Cricetulus griseus: one gene and its partners. The protein of the gene in region 3 binds, or shares a complex with, the protein of the main gene of each other region. Links are inferred from orthologs where the notes say so. Each region holds a gene or a part of one and is shown on either strand. Other genes may lie near its edges.

Region 1 (5,472 bases), about 200 Mb from region 3:
ACCAGCTATTTATCAAAATGATTAAAAGTACATGAGTACAGATTATTTTTCTAATATGTTACAAAACAAGGGTCTTTAAAAGTGAAATGGCAGTATTTGATCTCTACTTATTATGAATTCAAAACAATTACAAAATAAACAAAATAAAACAAAACAAATCATAAGCTAATTCATAGCCCATGCTAGCCTGGAATGGGGCAGTCTTCCTGCCCCATCCCCCACAGTGTTACTGGTAACTTTCACTTTTCAAGTCATATAATTATATGGGAGGAGTTTTAATGGTTTTTAAAATGCATAACTGGTCAAAAATGATCTTTAAGAAATGTTACATGAAATTTTATTTTAATGCATCTGTATTTTATGGAACGGATTTCCAATGCAGAGAGAATATAAAACTAAATAATAAATCTTAACTGAAAAAAGTTAGATATCACTGCTGCAAAACAGCTAAAGAAGTTAATTAGTTTCCCCTATAATATGAATACCACTAATTTATAATCCTAACAGGATGCTATAGATCTTATCTACAATAAGTATATTTATAAAACACTAAAATCATATTTTATGTGTATCCTGTTAGCAATTACAGAGACACAGTGTATTTACTTTTAGCTTACATCTTTCAGATAGCCTGTCCTTCTAGCCTATCCCTGGCTTTGTAACTGCTTAGAAAAGGAGGGGGAATTTTTTCCCAGGAATCTGAAGCAAGCCCCTGACAGTAGTCATTTTGTAATTGCAATTATGGTGAAATAAGCAAATGTTTTCAGGAAGTCAGTTCCAACCTTCAAATTCAACAAACATTTTAAGCTGTCTTTTATACTTTGTATGAAGATATATATGGCTTTTTTCAGAATCAGGAAGATTATTCATTAGACTAAGGAAATATGCATCAATCACTTTCTCCATATAACCAGTTTGTTTACTTACCTTAAACCAAGTATAGTAGCACTTTAAACTTCAATTCATATATTTTTAACTATCTATTATAAAATTAGTATATCCTACTGCCACATCTCTATCACCAACAAATGAATGCAAGACGTCGAGGCATCTCCAGTAATTAATTCTGTTGCACTGAGAAATAAAAACATCTATATTTACTTTCCGATGTGAAGAGTAATTGTTTAAGAGTGAAGATTTTTATAGTGTTAACAAATTCTACTTTATCCAAAAATATAAATATAATCTTAGAGGGCCTCCTGACATCATAAAATAATTACAGTAGATCTTTCTATTATAGACCTAAACTGCATGTTGAGAGTTAATTCAGATGAAGACAACAATAAATACTTCATGTGTTTGGACAGTTCCACTAAGGTAGAGAATGGCTGCAGTCCATTGACAACACATACTCTCTCTTCAGTACTGAGCTAACGAAATTCAAATTACAAGACATGTTCAACAGGGTTCACAGTCACAGCATTGTATAAATTCAAATTTTCGCCATTGCTGTTAACTGCAAATTATCTATGCCACACTTTTTACTAGTAACAGAACTACCAATCATTTCCTTATCTTTATGTTTTCTGTGACAATCCCATCAGGGTAAATAAAAATGCAGTGTATGCATTAGTCATTTATTGTTAGGTTCTATCTCTAAAGCTGATTTTTCTTCCTAGGAGTGAATTCCAAGGTATGTTTAAAACACACATGGAGAACTTAAATATTGCCTTATCTACTGAAATGAAATTTTGATTGATGTGATAAAGTGACAGTTTTGAATTCCAGTCCAAGTTTCTGATCTTAATAAAAGAAAAAGAAAGAAAAACCATAAGCAAGGTCATCTTAAGTTTAGCTAGACTGTAAGGTGTGGCTCTTGAGCTCTTCTGACTTAAAATGTAACCCCTGGGTCAAAGAATTACAGATCCTTTGATGTTAATGATCCTTGACCCCTCCTCCATTAAGGGCAAGGGAAGGAGGCCCCTGAGGACATGGGGTCCAGGAGGTAGGAAAGGGAAGAAAAGTTATAGTGTCTTATTTCTTTTGAAAAGCAACACAACTTCCTTGAGTTCTTTGGTAAACTAACATCCACACCTCTGGTGTCTCTTCTTAGCTAAAGGTCACTGCAGAGCCTTCAAAATTTAGGCCTCCTTGAGCAAGCCCCATTTCAGAACCACGGACAGCAGCAGCCCTGGGCCTCATACTCCAGTTTCCAAGAAACTCGCCTAGACTTTCCCTTTGTTTATCAGCAAGGTCACACACAGGCCTTGTTCACTATAACGCAAGCTATTAATTATTTCCACGAATTTCGACCAAAGATTTGTAATGTACTATTTCTTCAGAGTATACAAAAAAAAAAAAACCAAAGCAATTACATAAGGTGTGTGATCACCAGCCTAACATTGAGAATCAATTGGTAGAGAGCTAATTACAGCCTTCCACTCATGTCAATAACTATACAGATGACTAAGAAAACAGGAGGCTTAAGGAGAGCAGGCCTAGACTTTCTGAGGAATAAGAGCTACCCCCCCCCCATTAAACCCATAAAATGTGTTCCCTTGGCTGGTGGTGTTGTTTTGTTTTGTTTTTTCTCCCTATATCAAGAGCTACACTTTATCTTGTTCCTGAGGCCAATCAACTTCAGTGTGTGGGAAGTGAAGAAGTGATGCTGGTCCACCAGCCTTCTCCATGCCTGTCTCCAGCCAGCTGACTACCTGTGTGCATTGGTCCCCTCTCTATCTTCCCGACAAGCAGTAACAGAGTTTGAGCCAATGGCATAGCTTGAAGAAACAGCAGCTAGAATCTTGGCTTGGTTATCTTGAAAGATGGACTTCCCTGATATTCCAAGGACGCTCGAAGGAAGGCATCAGGCCACCAGCAACTCCAGCAGGAAGTCAAGTTCTTATAGCCAGATTAAACAATGATTAAACTTATAAAACCCGAATCAGATAAACGAATGAAACAAACCAAAAAAAAAAAAAAAAGCTGCATTGAAGGGGAAAGGAACCCACTGCTCCTACCTTACAGTCCTCAGGGCACGACTTCACGGAGTACTCATCTGACTGTAGGTACTTATGCAGCACACTTTCAAACTCTTCGTACTTCTCCTGAGCGTGGTGGTCGTAGTCTTGGTAAGCTTCGACGCACTGTCTACACGTGGTCATCTCACCACCCTCCGTGAGCACCACGTCCAAACTGCAGTTCAAAGTGCTGGGACTGGACAGCCCAGAAAACAACTCCCAAAGTGTGTAGGAATTACAAAACGAAAGGTAAAAATCCGACAAGTTCCACAACGGAGTCGGCCGAGAGCCCCTGGACGACTGCTCCTCCCCCGCGGCCGCCCCCCGACTCCAGTTCCTGGCGCACACCGAGTCCGCGCTCTCCACGGTGAAGCACTGGCCGGAGGAGGCGCCCTGAGGGTAACAAGTCTCCAGGCGCCACACCGGCTTGGCAGAGTTTCCTAGAAAAAGAGCCCTGCTCCGGTTGTTCTTGCCTCGGTTGCCCTTGCTGCCGCCGCCACCGCCTCCCGGGGAGGGGGGCAGGGTGGGGGACGAGGAGGCGGAGAGGAGTCTGTGTGCCTGGGCGGCGGGCGAGGACTCCCCCATGCTGGCCAGGAGCGCGGGCCAGGAGGGCTCCTGCTGTCGCTGCCTCTGCTGCTGCCGCTGCCGCTGCTGCTGTCGCTGCTGCTGCTGCTGCTGTTGCTGTTGCTGCTGCTGCTGCTGTTGCTGCTGCTGTTGGTGATGCTCTTTGTCCCGGGTCCGGGTCAGCTTGGCCTCGGCGCAGAACCACAAGTGATCAGAGAGCAGGACTGTGAAAAACAAGAGAGAAGCCAGAGACAGTCGCCATTTCTGAGCCCGCTCTGAATCGATGAACGGTTTCTCGTTCTCCCGGGGTGCTGCCAACCAGATTTTTAAGCCGTCGTCATACTGCCGACACATCCAAGCACCCCTGGTCATATTTTGGGAACGCACAGCCCTGGCCGACTCCACCGTGAGGGCTCCTGTGCCGGTGTCACCACAATATGCATTGACTTAAAGGGTTTAATTTCCGTATCCCCTCCTCCCGTTTCTTCTCTCTCTCTCTCTCTCTCTCTCTCTCTCTCTCTCTCTCTCTCTCTCTCTTTCTGTCTACATAAATATTAACATACTTTAGAGAAAGATCTTGCTGCCCACCTAATCATCAGCCGACCCCATCCCCTTGAGAGTGGGAGACAATAGAGAGAGAGAGAGAGAGAGAAGAGAGAGAGAGAGAGAGAGAGAGAGAGAGAGAGATTGAGAGAGAGACGCGGAGGCTGGTGCTGTGCTGGCCGGTGGGGAGGCTGAGTGCGGGAGGTGATGGTGGTGGAGGTGGCGGGGTGGCTGGCGCTGCTCCTGTCACCCTGGCATTGTCAGCGCGCGGGTCCCCATGGCCCAGCTGAGGACAGCCCGCTCTCCCCTGCCAGGGGCATGCCGCGTCTCCGCTGCCCACTGACGGCGACCGGAGCGCCTCCCCTCCTCCTCTCCTCCTCCTCTTCTCCTCCTCTTCCTCCTCCTTCCTCTCCGTCGCTGGCTTCTCCTCCGCCTCCCGCGCCTACTTCGCGCTGGCTCTCCCCGCGCCCCGAGCCTGGGCGGCCGCCGGCGGAGCTGTCCCTCCCCCCCACCCCCACCCCGCGCTCCGACTGTCGCCGCGGCCGCTGCAGGTCTGCCCGCGGGCGCCGCCGGGAGCCGAGTCGCCTGCGCTGGGCCTCCGGAGGCCACAGTCATCTTCAGTCCCCGGGCTAAGTTGCCGCCATCTTCGTCCTGGAGGCACACTTTTTTGGGGGGAGAGCTGGATTTTGCGTCATCTCCTCCCGCCCCGAGGTCTCTCCATCCTGGTGCAGTGGCGGCGACTCGGCCCCGGGGAGGAGGACGAGGACGCTCCGGGCGGCGGCTTGGAGAGCAGCTGTCCGCCGCCCCCTCCGGGCCCTGGGCACCGAGGCTCTTGCCCTGGGCTTGCCGACCCTCCCCACTTTTTATTTCGGAGTCAGGACGCAGGCTGAGTGGCCAACGCTGCTGTCCAGGGTCTCCAGCTTCTCCCTACCCCGCAGTCCAGGGGACAAGTCCAAGCCACGGGAGGGCGACTAAGAGGTCCCTGTTGGGGACCAGGGGCTGGGCATAATTTCCCTCGCTAGACAGTCTACAGAAAGAGTAGGTTGACTAGAGGAGTGACGAGGTGACTTTGCAGGCTCAGCCTAAACGTTCTTCGGGTCCCTAGACAGCTCCGCCGCGTTTGCGTGTGTCCTAAATCGGTTTTATGGGTCGGAAAGGACGCCGGGTGCTCGTGTCTGTGTGTCTGCCTGCATGGTGCTGTTCCTCAGCACTGCCTGTGCGCTGCAGCTATGACCACACTACACTCCATGTCTGACCATGCTTCCTCCTCCAAAGTAAGAAGCAACAAAAGGGCTCTCCAGCCCTGGGGAAGCACCTCCAGTACAGTGCGCCCCACCGGCTTTATGCTTGAGGAGCCTCATTTCTCCAGAGGACCCCCGAGGACCCTAGGGCACCCGCATACTGT
Region 2 (5,629 bases), on a different chromosome or scaffold from region 3:
GCAGGAAAGAAACTGAATTTGCACAGTCCAGGATGGTGCAATTCCTCAGCATTGTTTCTTTCTTCAAAATAAGACAGCCCACATTAATGGATGCTTATTTAAATTATATCTAAGTATCATCTTCCAAAGATCCATATTTCAATTTGGACAACAAATCACAAATCCTTTATTGGAAAAAGAGAGGTTTCCATGGTGATGTGCAAATGATTTGTTTTTTGATCCTTAGTAACTCCTTTAATATACTTTCATAAACAATGTAGATTCTACACATATGGAATAAAGAGTGCAATATTTCATTTAAGGAAGGAGTTAATAAAAAACACATCAAGGGGAATTTTTATAATAAATTGATGAGTTATTATTTAAAAGCAGTTTAGGCATTAAGCAATTAGTGTGGCACTAAACAAAGTTGGCATGAACAGTAGGTATGCTACACATCCAATGCTTGGTTTGAGGAATTGGATCCACTTCAAAGCTCCAAACCGAATCATCTAAGTAATACAGACAATGATATGATCACTAATTATATAACCAGCAATTATGTAATCATTAATGACACTCATTTAGAAACTGAAAACAAAATCCATGCTTTACATTGCCTATAAGAATACCATATCAAAGAGAGACATTTTTAAATTTTTATATATTTGAATTACAAACAAGATTGAATTACATGACGATCCCAGTTCCCTTCTCCCTCCATTCCTCCTCTACCACACCCCCAACTAAAATCCTACCTGTCATATGTCCTTTCTTCTAATCTACACCTGACTCAAAATTTCTGCTTCCTCATGACCTCTGCATCCTTCTCAAAGGGAGATTTTTAAAACAGTCTTCCTGTCAATTTTGTTTTGTTGTTTGTAACAAGGTCTCATTGACCTTGAACTTGTAGTGTGATCCTCCTGCTTCATCCTCCCAAGTGCTAGCAATACAAACCTGAACCTTCATGCCCAGCAAGTCCTTCTGACAAAGACTATCAAGCATTTAGAAAACACAACATCTTTTATTCTAACATCTTTGTACTGAAATAAAACTATTCTGGACCAAGTTAAACATCCCTATCCTGTTTCAGTGTGAAGCTCTAGATACTGTAACAATTACCAAAAAAAAAAAAAAATAGAAACTGTGGATGAAATGACAAGGCCCACATCCTCACCACAGCCCATCCTAACAGGAATCTGAAAGTCCATCCCTTCTGTCTTTAGGTCTATGTATGAAGAAACAACTCAGAAATCTAGCAGCTGGCATGCAGCTACTACTCATTACAAAGATGACAAAAGACAGGCTCCTATTGAACTACCAGGAGGGTGCTGAGAAGCCAAGCCCAAACTAACGGACTAAAGCTAGAGTAACAAAATAGACCTGAGCCAGGTCTGCCAATGGGTTAGACAAAGGCATGTACCAATTATGTCAAATAGCATTTGATGTTATTCAACCTAGCATTATTAAGCCAGAAATAACCAGGGAGGTTCAACTTATTTTCTGAATACCCCCTCTTTAAAGCTGGAAAAATTATATCTCAGAGACATGAAATGACTTGTTCATACCTTTAAGTGAATATCAAGCCATTCCACTAATAAACACTGAAATTCACACGATATTTTTTTAGATTAGCATCACTCATTTTTAATACTCAGTTGCTTCAGATATCTGTGTAAAGAAAGGATTTTTAACATGACAAGGCTTATGTCTGGAAATCTCTATTTCTAATTAAGGAAGAATTGATTAGTCATCAGCTCTGAAAAAAACAAAGAAGCTGACAATACCTGATCAACCTTCAGTGTGGTGAGAAACTGACTGCAGTAATGTCTCTCCACAAATTACTAATTTAATTCTAAGAACAAGGGACACAGTGAGCTAGATTGTTATCAATAGGATACAGTCTCATCTGCTATTCATCTTTTTAAAAAATATGCCTGTTCATTTACTTAACAGTCAACTTTATTTACCTAAAAGTAAGATCTAAAAATTCTAAGACTATATCCATAAGCAGTGAGCACTGATTCATGAGACCACACAGATGAAACAGACAGTGAAATGAAGTATTCTACAACTTGGAGTGACAACCATCAGTCTACTCATTTCTCCCTGTTGTTAAACAATTAGGATATCTTAGAAAATATTTCATATCTAACTACTTGCTAAATGTTAGTTTTTAGCAACATTAAATACTTGATGAATATTTTTAAATAGTATTAGCAAAGAGTGTGGCTCTTTGCCTAAAAGACATGAAAATTACAGTTCTATACCTAAATTAAACTCACCTACAAGGTAAGCCAATATAGCCCAAAAGGTACACGTGTTTGCCAGTTGTTGAAACACAGCAACTTTAATAAGGGCATAAGTACATAACTTAATGTGGCTAGCATTGATACTAAGAGTTAGACATGACCAATGGAGCTATTTTAAAAAATAAAATAAAATCAAGAGAAGGAAAGCAGGTATGGTGGTGCACACCTATAATCCCAGTATTCAGGAGGCTGAGGCAGGAGGGTAGCCATGAGTGAATAATACTGAACCAACCAGGGTACATAGGAAAACCCTATCTTTAAAAAAAAAAGGAGAGAGAAAGAGAAGCAAATAAGACCTACTGCACAGCAGGCTCTGGGCTGGCACTTTATCAGTATCCCAGACTAATTATGCTAACCCATGACACCTCAAATACAGCCACAATTACTATTCGTGAGACACCTCAGGTTACTATTCATGAAGGAGCTGTGATTATTCACAAGAAAACTATGATTACTATTTTGCAGATAAAAATCAAAGGTTTAAATCACCTGCCTGAGCTCGCATAGCTAGCCAGTGGCAGAGCTGAGATCTGCATCTTGATCTGATTGAAGTCTAAAGCCATAATTTTTTCAGATTATTCCCTAAAACATAGGTTAATCCATGTATAAAGAACACTTTAGAGACTGTGATTACAGAAGCTGCAACTTAGCATTGTCTTCTCATTGTTTTCATGTCTGAGGACCCTGCCGAATTATTTCTATAAAAGTAGAAAAGTCAGGTCCAGTAACACACACCCATAACCCCAGCACTCAGGAGTCCAAGACAGTGGATCAAGAATCCAAAGCCATTCATGACTACATAATCAATCAAGTTCCAGGCTGACCTGGAGTGATGAGGCCCTGTCTCCAAAAATATTAATAAATAGACAAGACCGGTCCCAGGCTTGCGACTGTATCTTATACTGGAGTCATGAGCTTTAGCTTTTTTTCAAAGTGTGTCGCAAATTTTGACTCATTTTGTCATCAAAATACCAAGAAGGAAAAGCTGATTCAGTCATCAGCATCATATTAGATTTCAACCACGTGAAATGAAATTTCAACCACACGAAATGAGTGGCACAACACTTCCACAGCAACCTGAGACAGAGCTGGAGCCAGAGTCTACCTTTCCCTACTCTCGGCTGCCCTCTCCATCCACGCCCCGCCCCCCCATGCTCTCACAGGCAGAAGAGAGCAGTCTCCACACCAGACAACACTCTGTCCACCTTCTTTTCTAATGTGGAAAAAGACATTACAATTCATAAGCAGGCAACACAGAACGTCTTGACACATTCTTCCTATTTGGTGGAGACGAACTGAGTGAACAACATGTTGATTCTAAGGTATAACCCTCTTTCACATCATTGACTTCCAACTCAACGTAAATGCTGGAACAACAAAATTTAAATCATAGCAGGTAGACGGAACAAGTGATCCCGTTACAATCTTGAAAATCAAGCGCCTGTCAGAGTAAACACAGTTTCCATAAAGATAGTTTTAGGGTTAGGTGAGGTTGAACTTACATATGGCCATTGGTAGAAAAGATGTGCTAAGGTATTCAATAATGTCCTTGTGAAGAAATGGAGGAAAGGTAGCTAGCGTTGAGATCATCGTGTAGGGCAAAGTGCTCAGAACATCGTCACTGAGAAAGGGTAGCAAACACGTGGTTGTATAAAATATTGACTGTCCAAGATCTACAAAACAAAATTAAGTAGTCAGCCACTGAAGATGGTGCCAGTAACAAAACATGCCAGTTTCATATCTTAATTTTTAATAAGCTGGCTTAAATTATAAAAGCAGCTATTGCCCCTTCTAAGAGTTCAGAGATGTACTGCTCAGTAGAATGTGGGATGTGCATAGCAGTTAGTTGGTGAATACATTAAGAAATAAATCTGTTCCATGAGTTCTCATCAGTGTGTCAGTCATCTATAAGCCTCACTATTCAGATGACCCTTGATCCCATTAATCAAAGCACTTTCCAAGCGAATGCTGACACCCCTCCATTTTTTTTTAGCTCCATTGCATTTCAAAAAGTTAACTGAAATACAGTGATGTGTTAGAATTTTCAGAAAAGTCCAGGGCAGTATTAGAAATTAAAGCCTGGATATTTCTGTTACACCTGAAGTCTTGGGCAGCAAGGGAGTTTATAAACTCCAGGTTCGATGTGCTTCACAGAAAGAAAGATTTGAGCTGGTCCTGTACAACCCTGTGCCTTTAGCTGTTAATTGTCAGGAAAGCTCACTCTCCTCAAAATAACCTCTCAAGGCTTTAAAATGTGGGTAATAACAATACCTACCTGGCTTCATAGGAGTTTAGAAGAAATAAATACAGAGCTCAGCATAGCATGTACTCCAAAAACATTAGCTATTACTTATTGTCATTAATATTACTATCATTGTTACCTGCATGAGAAGTAAAAATAGAGGACCTTCAAAACAAACCACAACTCTTTAGCTTTAGAATGTATGAAGAATAAACCCATTACATTCAATGTACATTGTGATATTTCTGAACCTCTTGAAATATAGGCCCTCAGCCAAGGCTTGACATGAAGATGGATCACCTCTTTGTTCATTAAGATAGCGAAGTCTCAGACTCTGGTCTGCTTTGGCCCTGATTCATCTTCCAGAATCATGTGCATTCCTCAAATTATTTCTAATAGTCATAAGAATTAACATACCATATCCACTGGCCTGTCAACTGACAATGTGGTCAACACTCAACCTGAAGGGCCAAGGTCCATTGCCTTTGAACCCAGACCAACAAGTGGGAAATTCACAGATGTTTTTGTGTGAATTCCATGGGGCTGTGTCTAAGAGAAACCTCAGCTATTTTCAATGAGCCTTTTTTAGCCTTAGGCAAAAAAAAAGCCTAATTTCAGATTAAGAGCACCAAAAGGACCTAGAAGTCCACCTGGGGTATTTTCTACCCAAGGAAACATATCTGGAGAGAGTAGTGACTGCCCGAATCACAATTCACCCATAGTTGAACAACTAGTGTTCACTCCTATAGGCCACCCGGACCCAAAATGAGCCTCTAGCCATGGAGCAGTCAGTCAGTTCACAGAAGAAGCTTCACAGGAAGCTCACTCAAAACATCAGCTGACAGGACCACTCCTCAGTAATTCTTGCTGAAGAACTGCACACTCCAAGTTCCTCACGGCCCAGGTTGTGCAGACAGCCCTGAGGGAAATTGGGCTGCTTGGGCTCTCTAAACCATTCACTAGAATGAACTGGTGAGCTTTATCCTAGCGTCTAAGCTACATTATGCAGAAGAAGAACACAATAAATAAACATCAAGATAAGGTCACACTGCAGGCATAGGCAGGAGAGCAAAACCATAAATCATCAATACTAAAA
Region 3 (4,992 bases):
TTATAGGGTATAGTATGGTAATTATCACATGTTTATAACATACACTGATGAAATCAGTATAATTCCCACTTTTGGCTCCTCAAATATCTACCATTTCTGTGTTTTTGGAACCTGTGACTTTTCTGGTTGTTTTGAAATATACCAGAGACTACATGTGACAGTTATCTTCACTGTCAATTTGATGGCCCTGGGGAAGCCCAAACTGATGACTACCTGGTGCTGAGGACTTGTAGGCATGTTGCCTCCATTTCTAACTCACCTGATACCTTGCTCTTTCCTAACCACTGTCATCTTCTTTTTGTTAGATTTACTTTACCTATCTGTCTGTCTGTCTGTCTGTCTGTCTGTCCGTCCCTCTCTCTCTCTCTCTCTCTCTCTCTCTCTCTCTCTCTCTCTCTCTGTGTGTGTGTGTGTATCTGCAAAACTGAATGACATACATGTACAGGTACCCATAGGGGTGAGGAGGGGGCATTGGATGCCTTGGAGCTAGAGTGATGGGTGTTCTTGAGCTGTCAGATGTGGGTATAGCAAACTGTCCTTGGGTCATCTGGAATGACAGCTGCCCCTCCAGCCCCTTACGGTCTTGGTTTTTCACAATACTTTAAACCCTTAAACACCAACCCCCACTTCGACTTTTGGATACCTTTGTGAGAGCTCTGAAATAATTACTTCCCCTTTATTGGTCCTGTCTCAAGTGTCTGTCTCAACCTGATCTGGCTCCTCCTCATAAAGCATTGCCAGATGTCTCTGGGTCAGACCTGCAGCAGGGCCACTGACTCCTCCTATAGAGTCTGTGAAGAAGTAGGAGAGTGATTCCTGGTTTCTTGTAGAGAATCATGAAACTCACACAAAACTGTACCAGAACATAACAGGTCCATTTGGAGCCTCTTCTGGGCCATGGAGCCTTATGCTCCAATTTGTCCCTATGTTGCTGAGCATCATGGGCTCATCGAAACTGGAGGCACTGCACAGTGTGCTGGATGGATTCCAGGTGATTAGCATCAAATCATTGCAGCCACATAAAGGTGTGGGGTCTCCCTGACAGCTGCTTCTCATAGCACAAGGCTCTCTGGCTTTTGTGGTTGTTGTTTTGTTTCTGAATACACATGTAGAAAAACTTTGAAAATGAAATTAGCTGTGTTTTAGTAGACAGAAGCTACTCAAATATTTTTTTCTTAATTCTATATGCTCCTCTGCTGCCCAAATAAGAAAGGATAAATCTCCAAATGCATTTGATTATTGAAGAAGATTGAAAGCCAAGTGCATGTATTTTGCTCATTTTACTGAAAATTTCCATGGTGTGCTGAGGGGAAGAAAATATTTATGGCAAAGCTTCATTTAAATCATAATCATTTAAAGCACATATTTCTATGCTCAAGCTTAGCTGTTATGACAAAAAGAAACAAGTAATTAACACTCAGGATGTTAACTGCTTTTAGTATATGTTTTCTGTAGTTTGGATCTTGAATGGCCTATAAGTTGATGGTTTGTTTCTCCAGCCTAAGATACTAATGGGAGGTGGTAAAATGTTTAGGATGTAAAGCCTAGTGGGAGAAAGTTGAGTTATTATGGGGGTGGGGTGGGGGCTGTCCTTGAGGAATTTGGAGTTCCATCCCCTTCCTCTCTCTCATGCTCCCTGGACACCACATTTCCCCACACACTGTCATCATGGTGTACTACTTTACTATAGTCCTATATAGTGAGTCAGCCACCCCTGGACTGAAACATCTCAAACGGAGAGCCAAGAAAGCCTTCCCTGCTTCTAAGTTGATTATCTCAGGTATTTTGTTTATTAACAGAAAGTTCACTAACACACCATACAAATCACAATTTTACCAAAACAAAAAACAAAGCAAAACCCTCAACTGGATTCTAAGTGATAAAAATATCTGGATGTACATGTTCTCATTATTTTTGGTTCTTTTGCAACGAAAGGTCGCCTTAAAAATGCTGTCACTTGGCCGGGAATTGGTGGCACACGCCTTTAATCCCAGCACTTGGGAGGCAGAGGCAGGCGAATCTCTGTGAGTTCGAGGCCAGCCTAGTCTCCAGAACAAGTGCCAGGATAGGCTCCAAAGCTACATAGAGAAACCCTGTCTCGAAAAACCAAAAAAAAAAAAAAAAAAAAAAAAAAAAAAAAAATGCTGTCACTTTGAAATGTCTGTGGCCAGAATCAACTGCCACAGAAGATCCTTGGATGAAGGGTACCTCATCTCCTACCTCAGGTTGCGTATTGTGGTCCTGGCTGTTGGCATTAGTGTCCTCGCTTGGCTGGGTGGTCTCGATGCTGGGAGGGTTCAGGAATCGACTCAGCTCTTGCTGCTGGCTCTCCCTCAGGCTGTGGATGATGCTGCATGACTGCTGCTGTTTCTGCAGGAAGATGCTGTGCTTTCATAAGGAGGAAAGGTAGGTGCCTGGCTTCTTTGCCCCACTCCCACCCATCACAGTGTTTTCTACCCTCTCTGAAGACCCATGGATTTGCTGCCCTTTTAGTAAGTTCCAAGTAAGAATCTCAAACTAGTTTTGAGACTGCTAGATTGACATATGAGCCCTGTAGATTAGAGGCATCTCCCACCTTTTATATTTGTAGAACAATTGGACTTGTTATGCTCATCTCTGCTAGTTTATATGTCATTTAAAATCACTAATGTGTTTTATTTTCCCTTCTTATTTAATTCTATCCTTATTTAACCAATACCAGCCTCCTTCCCCCACTTTCCTGAAAGTTGTAAGCACCAGAGAGTCTTTAGTAGATGAGGAGGAAATTCGTACTTCTGTCTTGGTTCTGGACTTTATAGGGCAGCCTGGTAGGCCAATTCAGCAGTAGCTTTTTTTTTCCCTGGCCATGGCTTCTCTCGTAGGGTCTGAGCAGGACATTTGTAATCCATATAATCAGCAGAGCTATAGTGGCCTTGCTATGATTGGGTTGCAGTCGGCAGCTGGCCTTGCTCTAGAAGGTTGGGTTAGAGTGTTTATTTTCTTAGAGTTAATTTTCCTCTAACAGAAGTGCATGTTTCTGTGGTGGGTGTTGTTCTGAAGGACAGGATCAAACAAATCTTACATAACATTAATTGCATTGTAAAAAGCATTTACTGACTGTTTTGCCTTTCTTCTCTGTATGTGAAGTATAAGTCAAAAGCATTCATAAACATTAATTGCCCAATAGAAGTACTCATTAGAAACACAGTATATTCTAATGGAGTATACAGTCACTAACAAGTGAGAGTCTCATACAAACTTACAGTTGAGGAGGCAGCAGGCACATCATTAAAATTCCATAAGAGATGGTCTTCAGAGACCAGGCAACATGATAAACCATATGTTGGAACTTTCTGCAGCAATTTAAAAGTAGTTTTGCAGATTTTATCCCAGTAGATATTTTGGGATTTTCTACAGTTGAGTTTAATAAATGGAGATCATAAATATTTTAATATCCATAAATTGCTTTTTAAACCTTCATGCTATACAAATTTGATTCAGTTGAGATGTGTGGTGGAGCCTGCTGAGGGGAATGAGCCTGAAGCTGGAGTGGAGTTAAGGCTGTAGCAGCACCAGACACCCTGAGTGGATGAAGATGGTGCACTTTTAGGGGTATCAGGCCAGTTGTTGGAGGGTTGTTCTGTTGAGGACATTCTTATCTTTTGCCCTTCTTGTTCTGAGTGTGTGTGTGTGTGTGTGTGTGTGTGTCGGTGTTAATTGTCAACTGGATGGAAGCCAGAATCGTTTGAGAGATGGGTTTCTGGGCATGCTTGTGGGCGATTATCTTGATTACTGGTGTGGGAAGACTTACCATAACTGTGAGTGGGACCTTTCTATGAGAAAGGGATCCCAGACTATACAAAATGTGGATAGTGGGCTGAATACTGGCATATATCCATTCCCTCCATTTCCTGATCCTCGATGTGATGTGATTACATAACACATGTCATGTGATTAAACTCCTACCATCTTGACTTCCCCTGTATAATGGACAGTACCCTTGAACTGTGAGCCAGGATAAGCCTTTCTCATTTAAGCTGCTTTTGCCAGAGTACTTTATCACAGCAACAGGAAAGGAAAGCCACCAGCCCTGGTGCTCGTGGTTCACTCACAGCCCTGATGCGTTTCAAGCACTTCTTCAGCCACATGCGAATGGTCTGCTTAGCCACCTCCTCCTCTATTGTATACTCCAGCTGCTCCCTTGCCAGCAGCTCCTCCAGCTGCAGACTCTTCCTGATGTCCACAGAGCGGTAGGAGAGCATGCTAGAATACAGGAACAGCAGCGACACTGGTTAGAGTCCTCTGGTGTTTAGAGCCTCTGGTGTTCAAAATGCAGAGAACACATCTTTCCAGACACTCAGTGTAACATTTGATGCCATCTGTAATTGGATGAGGGGCTGGTTGTGTCACCTCTGTGGCTCCTTTCTCTTGTGTGAATGCTGAGGATGGTCTTGGCACCTATCTCATTGAATAATCTGGCAAGCTAATATCTATGAGATACTTCGAACAGTGAATGTATCTAAGTGCCTATGCTGAAGAAGACTCTGACAGCTCTAGCTGTCAAGTACATACTCTAGAATGTTCTCTGCAGAAAGAAGATTATTCCTTCCACTGTTTCTTTGTGGTTAGCTCTAATTACAGATGGTTGATATCCTTGCTTGTGAGTTGTGTGTGCCCCACTGCACTTCCCTGTCTATTTCATTTATCACTCTGTGTCTTCTTTATTAATTTCAGAAGACACAAAGCTAAAGCTGACTAATCACAACTCTCATTTAGACCTTGGCTCAACAGGTCCAGACCATGGTAAGTAAAACTAACATTTTTGTGCGGAGGGGCAGTTAGATAATTCCTAGCAGGGACTGACCAAAGGGGAATATAGACCTATCTTGTAGTACTATACACTTGAGTGTAGCTTCAGCACCTTGGACTCTCATACAACCTCTGTTGTGAGCTTGAGGCCACCACCAGATCCCAAATCATAGCATAGTAACTTCAGGAGTACTGGGTCATTGA

What was found.
Region 1: the proteins of sodium leak channel non-selective protein (region 3) and Fam155a are in contact, whole or in part, in a cryo-EM structure (PDB 7CM3), measured with the Homo sapiens proteins. The link is inferred for Cricetulus griseus from reciprocal best matches to the Homo sapiens genes NALCN and NALF1. Residues at the interface, in NP_001337678.1 of Homo sapiens: Cys207, Val209, Asn220, Leu222, Ala223, Ile224, Pro225, Thr227, Tyr237, Pro240, Phe243, Tyr406, Glu409, Phe909, Ala1044, Lys1045, Asn1047, Pro1049, Arg1054, Ile1060, Arg1062, Ile1063, Asn1064, Val1065, Ser1066, Lys1069, Lys1080, Lys1081, Gly1083, Phe1084; in NP_001073865.1 of Homo sapiens: Lys278, Glu281, Phe282, Val285, His287, Lys288, Tyr289, Leu290, Gln291, Glu294, Tyr295, Ser296, Val297, Lys298, Ser299, Tyr308, Trp311, Leu312, Gln315, Leu335, Gln338, Thr339, Cys341, Phe343, Ile344, Leu345, Pro346, Asp347, Asn348, Asp349.
Region 2: the proteins of sodium leak channel non-selective protein (region 3) and Unc79 are in contact, whole or in part, in a cryo-EM structure (PDB 7SX3), measured with the Homo sapiens proteins. The link is inferred for Cricetulus griseus from reciprocal best matches to the Homo sapiens genes NALCN and UNC79. Residues at the interface, in NP_001337678.1 of Homo sapiens: Gln349, Met350, Phe351, His352, Glu353, Gly358, Trp359, Gln360, Leu361, Phe712, Ser713, Ile714, Arg717; in NP_001333147.1 of Homo sapiens: Cys861, Gln862, Ile865, Glu968, Pro969, Asp970, Phe1020, Gln1022, Pro2088, Asp2089, Ala2092, Pro2093, Leu2095, Leu2096, Met2099, Leu2139, Pro2141, Asn2142, Gly2143, Ile2144, Gln2147, Leu2148, Ser2151.

What each region holds. Positions count from the first base shown.
Region 1 is NW_023276807.1:70,699,137-70,704,608, reverse strand, and holds the start of Fam155a (transmembrane protein FAM155A), read right to left. Parts: upstream 3,897-5,472; coding exon 2,961-3,896; intron 1-2,960. UniProt on the Homo sapiens protein: Auxillary component of the NALCN sodium channel complex, a channel that regulates the resting membrane potential and controls neuronal excitability.
Region 2 is NC_048598.1:103,081,637-103,087,265, forward strand, and holds the start of Unc79 (protein unc-79 homolog), read right to left. Parts: upstream 3,897-5,629; 5' UTR 3,882-3,896; coding exon 3,794-3,881; intron 1-3,793. UniProt on the Homo sapiens protein: Auxiliary subunit of the NALCN sodium channel complex, a voltage-gated ion channel responsible for the resting Na(+) permeability that controls neuronal excitability.
Region 3 is NW_023276807.1:273,144,293-273,149,284, forward strand, and holds part of sodium leak channel non-selective protein, read right to left. Parts: intron 4,243-4,992; coding exon 4,092-4,242; intron 2,371-4,091; coding exon 2,221-2,370; intron 1-2,220. UniProt on the Homo sapiens protein: Voltage-gated ion channel responsible for the resting Na(+) permeability that controls neuronal excitability. NALCN channel functions as a multi-protein complex, which consists at least of NALCN, NALF1, UNC79 and UNC80.